Linked DNA regions of Kluyveromyces lactis. The protein of the gene in region 1 interacts with the protein of each later gene in a pairwise test. Links are inferred from orthologs where the notes say so. Each region holds a gene or a part of one and is shown in the gene's direction. Other genes may lie near its edges.

The links.
Region 2: the proteins of CHS3 (region 1) and STE24 interact in a two-hybrid assay, tested with the Saccharomyces cerevisiae proteins (2 studies listed by BioGRID, with this or other methods). The link is inferred for Kluyveromyces lactis from reciprocal best matches to the Saccharomyces cerevisiae genes CHS3 and STE24.

The regions. Positions count from the first base shown.
Region 1 is NC_006040.1:301,852-306,233, reverse strand, and holds the start of CHS3 (chitin synthase CHS3), read left to right. Parts: upstream 1-1,457; coding exon 1,458-4,382. Other genes in the region: KLLA0_D03520g (M20 family metallo-hydrolase), read right to left, coding at 1-329. UniProt on the Saccharomyces cerevisiae protein: Polymerizes chitin, a structural polymer of the cell wall and septum, by transferring the sugar moiety of UDP-GlcNAc to the non-reducing end of the growing chitin polymer.
Region 2 is NC_006040.1:924,331-927,793, reverse strand, and holds STE24 (zinc metalloprotease), read left to right. Parts: upstream 1-1,411; coding exon 1,412-2,782; downstream 2,783-3,463. Other genes in the region: TDA4 (Tda4p), read left to right, coding at 1-816; proteasome regulatory particle lid subunit RPN3, read left to right, coding at 3,296-3,463. UniProt on the Saccharomyces cerevisiae protein: Proteolytically removes the C-terminal three residues of farnesylated A-factor mating pheromone. Also acts to cleave the N-terminal extension of the pheromone. Does not act on Ras.

The DNA.
Region 1 (4,382 bases):
GGTTTAGTCCCACTGTTCTTACCTGGATATATGGCGAAAATGTTACCAATTTGGTCAATTTTAATGGAACAACCAAGATCTTTACATTCACGAACAAACCAATCTCTCATCTTACCGTCTAATTCGGTCCCTGCAAGTCTCCTCATACCAAATTCGTGACGTTCTTCACCCCATCTGGCAACACCTCCAAATTCGCTGCCGGTAGATAAGATTGTATCGTTCAATCTTCCAGGAGCAATCTGCAAAGGAACATGGCCGACGAGATTGATTGTGCCTGTCGCAGAATCAGTAGTTGTAGTTGTAGTTGTTGGAGCAATGGTAGATGTCATAAGTTTTCTTTTTTGATGTTTATGTATTGTTTGTAGCTCAAACTAGCTCCATACTGAACAGGAAAGGGAACATCATAACCTGGAGACAAACAAGAATACCAACTCTAGTATACATATATATATATTTATGTTTTGAAACATGTCTTATAGTCAATATCTTGCAACCTATCGATATCTCTCGCTTATCGAGTTGCAGCCTTTAACCTAATTCTATCTAGGTAGTCCATTTTTTTTTGCGACGTTATCAAATGCGAGATAGGGTTCCAAATAAACTAAACAGTTGCCAATTCGAAGAACGGAATCAGATTCGGAAAAAAAGTTCATGATAATCATATCATATACAGGATCACCATACCCGAGATCTCAGGTCGGTACTTGCCGTGGTTGCTTGGATCAGGCTTTTTTCCTCATCACCGGCTCATGTGTCGATCTCTTTTACTCTGTAACTTGTTGCAGCACACATCGTAATATATATATATATATATATATATATATTACTGGTCCCCTAAAGATTCGAACCCGGGAACACACGCACCGCTTGTGCTCCGGAATATCCGAGAAAATTCTTGATTAGGAGTAGCCTCACGTGACAAGTCCTTTAACCCAATCGGGTAAAAGAATGGACGCCATTCCCATGAAATATCCGGGTAAATATAATCTGAAGTAAATCCCAGGTTTCGAAAAAGCTAACACAGAAACCATCATCTCCATCATCAGCATTAGAACATTAATATTATTGTCATTGTTTATGTCTAATTCTTGAAATATTTACATGTTGCAGACTGCGCACCAATCGTGAGATTTCCCTTCGAAGATACCCTGTTGTTTTCTGCTTTTATCATACGTGCGGTTAGAGTGTTGCATACATACCATTCGGTGCATTTAGTCCCCATTCGTTTCAATACTAAAGAATCTGATCTGTGATAAAAATAGTAATTGACTTAAAACTCGGAAAAAAAATATTGACAATAAAATAATAGCAACATTGTCTGTTCTATTCATTTCACATTACGGATATTAACTGCTGTTTTCTACCATCATTTGAGGTCATATATCTATTTATTTTCGACTGTGGTTTTTTTTGTTGTCCGATTTCTTCATTTTGAACACAATATCATTTAGACCCTCATGTCTGATGATTACTATGCATTTGACAACGAGTCACTGTTGAAATCTCGGTCTCAGAGACAGATTTCAAGACAAGGCTCTTTGGTCAGACCTGAAAGAAATAGTTTTAAAGATCCAGACCATCCATACCATTATTATGCTTTAAAAGCGAAGGAAACTCATCTTCAGATCAATCCTTCCACAACAGGTGCTTTGCCTGAAGAGTCCTCGTTGGATATTCCAATGCAAGACCTGAATGTACAGTCAAACGATAAACTTCCAAGTTCTTCTTTGAACACAGTGGGTGAATATGGTGAACCAAATGAAAGGTTGGTAATGGAGGGTAGCGATGGGTTTGAAAAGAAAAACAGTATTTATTCAGAAAAGAACGTGTCTCCTCCAATAGAGATCGGACAAAGGTTAGAATCTAAGGCCAAAGATCAAAACAAGCCCAAAGTGGGCTTTTCGTTATGGCAATCGTACTGTTTTTTGATTACAATCTTCATTCCTCCTTCCGTTTTAAAATTGTTTGGCATGAAGACAAAAGCGGTTCAAAGAGCATGGAGAGATAAAATTGGGTTGATTTCAATCATCTTTTATATTGGAGCGTTTGTCGCTTACCTGACTTTCGGGTTCACAAGAACTGTCTGTGTTCCAGGCAAAGTAAGGATGCGCAACAATGAAGCCACCACAGGACAATTAATTATTCATGGACAGGCATACTCTCTAGAATCTTCTTCTCATCCAGCTGCAGCTGGTATCCCTGGGGGATCTAATATTCTATATCCTCCTGTGAATGCTGGTGGCATGGACGCGTCTTTCCTTTTCCAAAACGTTAACGGTAACTGCAAAGGGTTGATTGAACCAAGAGAAAATTCTACTATTCCTTTCGATGACGACGGAAATATGGCATGGTACTTCCCATGCAAACTTGTTAACCAAGATGGTTCAAGTAAACCTAACTTCACAGAGTCAGAATACTACGCTGGCTGGGGTTGTCACACGAGCTCGACTGCCAGGGAACAGTACTATGCCCTTAATGCCCCGGCGGAGGTATACTTCTCCTGGGAGGATATTAAAAATTCTACGAGAAAGTTGATTGTATATAATGGTGACGTTATTGATTTGGGGATCTTAGACTGGCTAGAAACTGACGATCTTACATATCCAGAGACATTTGATGTCTTGAAATCAGCCAATTTAGAAGGTTATGACATTTCATTGGTCTTATCCACTAGCAGAGAAAGAAATGTAGCCCGTTGTCTCGTTGAACTTGCTAAGGTTGGTGTTATTGATTCAGAAAGTATCGGCTGTATTGCTTCTCAAGTGGTATTATATTTATCTTTGGTATTCATTCTATCCGTTGTCGGTTGTAAATTCTTCATCGCGTGCTACTTCCACTACTTTGTAGCAAAAAAACAAGGTGCGTACACTGTTGACAACAAACAACTCGCCAAACATAATAACGACTTAGAAGATTGGTCAGAAGATATCAATTCTCGTGGTCCTTTGAAGCCCGTTGATCCATCATTAAGACCAATGAAGAAAAATCATAAAAAAAACAGCTCCAGTATCAGTTTATTCAACCGTAAATCCCGATTTAGCCAACAATCATTGGGTAAATCTGTACACTTGAATGATCCTGTCATTCAGAGCCTTGAAAGTACTGGTATGTCTACAATGACTACACAATCCGTGCTGAAATCAGCATATATGAATGAAATGAAGAGAAAAAGTGCACATGCTGGATTCGCCTCGCAGTCAAGACCGGTCTCCACTATTAATCCTTTTTCCGACAATCTTGATCCTTTCGGTACTTCAATGACTATGGAATCGTTAGATCCAACGATCATTCACCCCGATGCAGTATTACAGCCGCCCCCAGACTTCATGCCCTATGGATTTCCATTGGTTCACTCACTCTGCTGTGTCACCTGTTATTCAGAAGATGAGGTAGGTTTAAGAACAACATTAGATTCCATTGCAACCACAGATTATCCAAACTCTCATAAATTAATCGTTGTAATCTGCGATGGTATTATTAAAGGTTCTGGTAATGACAGAACCACCCCGGACATAGTATTAGATATGATGGAAGACTTTGTGATTCCCAAGGAGCAAGTTACAGCTTATCCTTACGTTGCAATTGCAGTTGGCGCAAAAAGACATAATATGGCAAAAATATATGCTGGGTTTTATAAATACGATGAATCCACCATACCCGCCGAAAATCAGCAACGTGTTCCAATTATCACCATTGTAAAATGTGGTACAGCTGAAGAACAAGGCTCAGCGAAGCCTGGTAACAGAGGTAAGCGTGATTCACAAATTATATTGATGTCTTTCCTACAAAAAGTGACTTTTGATGAAAGAATGTCGGCTTTAGAGTTCCAACTAATGAAAAATATATGGCAAATTACAGGGTTAATGGCTAATTTTTATGAAACAGTATTAATGGTTGATGCAGATACTAAGGTTTTCCCAGACTCTTTGACTCATATGCTTTCAGAAATGGTGCATGATCCATTAATCATGGGATTGTGCGGTGAGACTAAAATCGCCAATAAAGGTGAATCGTGGGTTAGTGCAATCCAAGTTTTTGAGTATTTTATTTCTCATCATCAGTCTAAGGCGTTTGAATCGGTTTTCGGTTCCGTAACGTGTTTGCCAGGTTGTTTTTCTGTTTATAGAATTAAGACGCCGAAAGGTAAAGACGGATTTTGGGTTCCTATTCTTGCGAATCCGGATATCGTCGAAAGGTATTCAGATAACGTTACGGACACATTGCATAAGAAGAATCTATTATTATTAGGTGAAGATAGATATCTATCATCACTACTTTTGAAAACATTCCCCAAACGTAAAACAGTTTTTGTTCCTAAGGCTGCTTGTAAAACCGTTGTTCCAGCCACTTTCAAAGTTTTGCTTTCCCAAAGAAGACGTTGG
Region 2 (3,463 bases), about 620 kb from region 1:
GAGTTGTCTGATCCATTGCTAAGCTGGTCATTTGATCCATCTTCTGAAAACTTGTACTATAGACATTTGCATGAAGCCTTGATATCTTTTGTGGTGTATCAATTCATTCTATATCCATTTGTGGTGCCAAAACTTAACGAATGGTTCTTCAAAGAGCATTACACAGAAAGGGATGAACCTGACAAAATTAATTTCGATATTCATACCGTGTCTATGATCCAGAGCGTTGTCTCCCTGTACTTGATCTGGCCGTTATTATGGATTCCTTTTGGATTTAATGTGGCAACTTACTACAATTCTTATGCTTCCATGGTTTCTGCCGTTAGTATTGGGTATTTCATGTGGGATCTGTATATCTGTCTGAGGTACTTCAAATTGTTCGGTATTGGATTCTTGTTCCACGCTGTGGCAGCATTCGCTGTTCTGACCATTACCTTGCACCCGGTATGCCAAGCATGGATCGGAAGATTCTTGTCATTCGAGGCCTCAACTCCGTTTGTCAACATCAATTGGTACATCATCCAATTGTCCCGTGGATCCTCGAAGCAGGTGGTTCCTACCTGGTTCAACGTATTGAATGGGTTCTTGTTGATCTCAGTATTTTTCTTCGTCAGATTGGTATGGGGGTTCGTCGCTGTTGCGATTTTGATCTACGAGATGTGGCAAGTGTGGGATCAAATCCCATTATACATGACTGCCGTTATCTTGGGTATCAACGTCTCACTAGACTTCTTGAATATCCACTGGTTCTCTAAGATGTTGAAAATTGCTAAAAAGATGGCTAATGGATCTAAAAGAGTCTCCAAAATTGATTGAGTCCTTATCGTTGTCAGATCAGATCAGATCTGCTGACTGATTGTCTGTTTCATTATATATAAAAATCAACGTACTACATAGAAATGCCCAGCACCAAAACTGGATTTATAAGAAATAAAGATCACACGGTTATGAATTCTTCGCCAGATTCACTGATCAATTGAAGTAGTCAGCTAACCTTCAGGAGTGTTCCAAAGGGATATATTTGCCCATTTGAACGTGTGTGCCTTTTATTTTCGCAGGCACTAAATTCTCATCATGACCTTTAAGTGAGCATAAAATTTGAAAATACAAAACCGCAAAGAACTGCATTGACTTGTTTGAAGAATATAGAAGGAGAGAAGGCTAGAGTACTTGGTATTATTCGAACAGTGTGCTTCTAGTGCTTCATTTCCCCTTTATTTACCAGGGCTTTACTAAGTTAGGCAAGAAACACCGTTAGGAGCTGATTATCTGGCAATTTTGATTCGAATCATTAAATATATTCCTTTCTGCTTCTTTGCATATTGAACTAAAAATAAAGGTCAATTAACACTTAGCTTCGAGAAGAAAACATAGATTGTAGGGCATTGATCACCTCATTATAGTTATATTAATGATGGGAATTGTTGACATACTTCAAGATATCCTGGATTCATCTTCCATACCATGGAAAACCATTATTACGGGGTTCACTGTGGCGCAATTTGGATTTGAAACCTATTTGACTTACCGTCAATATTTGGCTCTATCCAATAAGAATTTGCCTCCCGTGCTAGTTGGTGAAATTGATGATGAGACGTTCCAAAAATCGGAAGCTTACTCAAGAGCCAAGTCTAAGTTTTCAATTGTATCGAATGTCATTAACTTGGCTCAGAATTTGATCTTCATCAAGTTCGATATTTTACCAAAGCTATGGCACCTGGGCAACAGCTTTGCCCAATATTTCCCAAGCAGGTTCTTTCCTACTTCTACCATTGCCCAATCCTTGTACTTTTTAACCGTCATGTCCAATTTGTCCGCTTTGATGGGTCTGCCATTGAGTTATTACCAACATTTCGTCTTGGAAGAGAAGTTTGGTTTCAACAAATTGACCATTAAGTTATGGATCTCTGATATGATTAAGAGCAGTCTGCTAGGTGCTGTCATTGGTACTCCGGTATTGTACTTGTTCTTAAAGATTTTTGAAAAATTCCCATCCAATTTCTTGTGGTACATCTGTCTATTCATTCTTGTGGTTCAAATCCTTGCTTTGACTATTATCCCAGTGTTTATCATGCCATTGTTCAACAAATTCACTCCATTAGAAGATGGCGAGTTGAAGACCGAAATTGAAAACTTGGCTAAAAAGGTAGGATTTCCATTGGACAAAATTTTCATCGTGGATGGTTCCAAGAGATCTTCTCATTCTAACGCTTATTTCACGGGTCTCCCATTTACCAGTAAGCGTATTGTCTTATATGATACCTTAGTCAACGATTCTACCACCGATGAAATTGTTGCTGTTTTGGCTCATGAAATTGGTCACTGGCAAAAATCTCATTTGTTGCGGATGCTAGCCTTCAGTGAAACTCATATTTTCTTGGTATTTTCCCTCTTCACCGCTGCTTATCAAAACAAATCATTATACAACGCATTTGGATTCTTCGCCGGTTCTGGTTCCTCATCTGATATCTCCAAGGTTATTACCCCTCAATATCCAATTATCATCGGATTCCTTTTGTTCAATGACTTATTACAACCGCTAGACTGTCTTTCTACATTTTTGACAAACTTAGTCTCAAGAGCTCATGAATACCAATCTGATGCTTACGCTAAGGAATTGGGCTACGCCCCTCATTTAGCCAGAGCATTGATCAACCTTCAAATCAAGAATCTTTCTACTATGAATGTTGATCCATTATATTCAAGTTATCATTACTCTCATCCAACGTTGGCCGAAAGATTGATCGCTATCGAATACAAGAACGAGAAGAAAGACCAGTAGTTTGCAAACAAAAAAGGCATTCAATTTACTGTTTACAGATCACTAGATAAGCAGCAGTACTTATCGTTAACAAACAGAGTGCTATTTTCAAAGTTTGTATAGTAAGATTAGTCTCTGTGGTATTTTGCAGTACATAGTTTAGCATTTTTATTATTCTATATATATGCGCTTTTTAAAGCCATAATGCAAATATTGTACCTGTTTTCCTAATATAAGATGTTAATCACCTTTATCCGTAAGACAACCACATCTTTCACTGAGTCTTGCAGCATTACAGGCCGGCATTTAGGCGTTGTTGCCGTATGTCTCTTGTTCTTTTCAATATTTACGTATACAACGACTCCAGCGTCTTTATTGCCATTTGAAAGTTAACTTGGGATTCCTTTAAAAGTTCAAACGTAACAACAATCATATAAACTGTTTGCCACTCATAAAAGGGAAGGCAACAACCCGCTCTAGAGACTGCAAAACATCTGACAGAGTACTCCAGCTTGTCAATTAAAAAGATATTCGATGTCTAGTGACGCTATGGATATTGATTCGGTCCCAGAGGCCGCGGTCGATAACAATTCTAATGAGGATGCCGTTGTGGATAAACTTCTTGAAATCCTCAAGCAGGTTTCTAAGAGTACATTATCAATGGATTCACGTTACGTATGGAAATCATTGAGAGATTTTGCA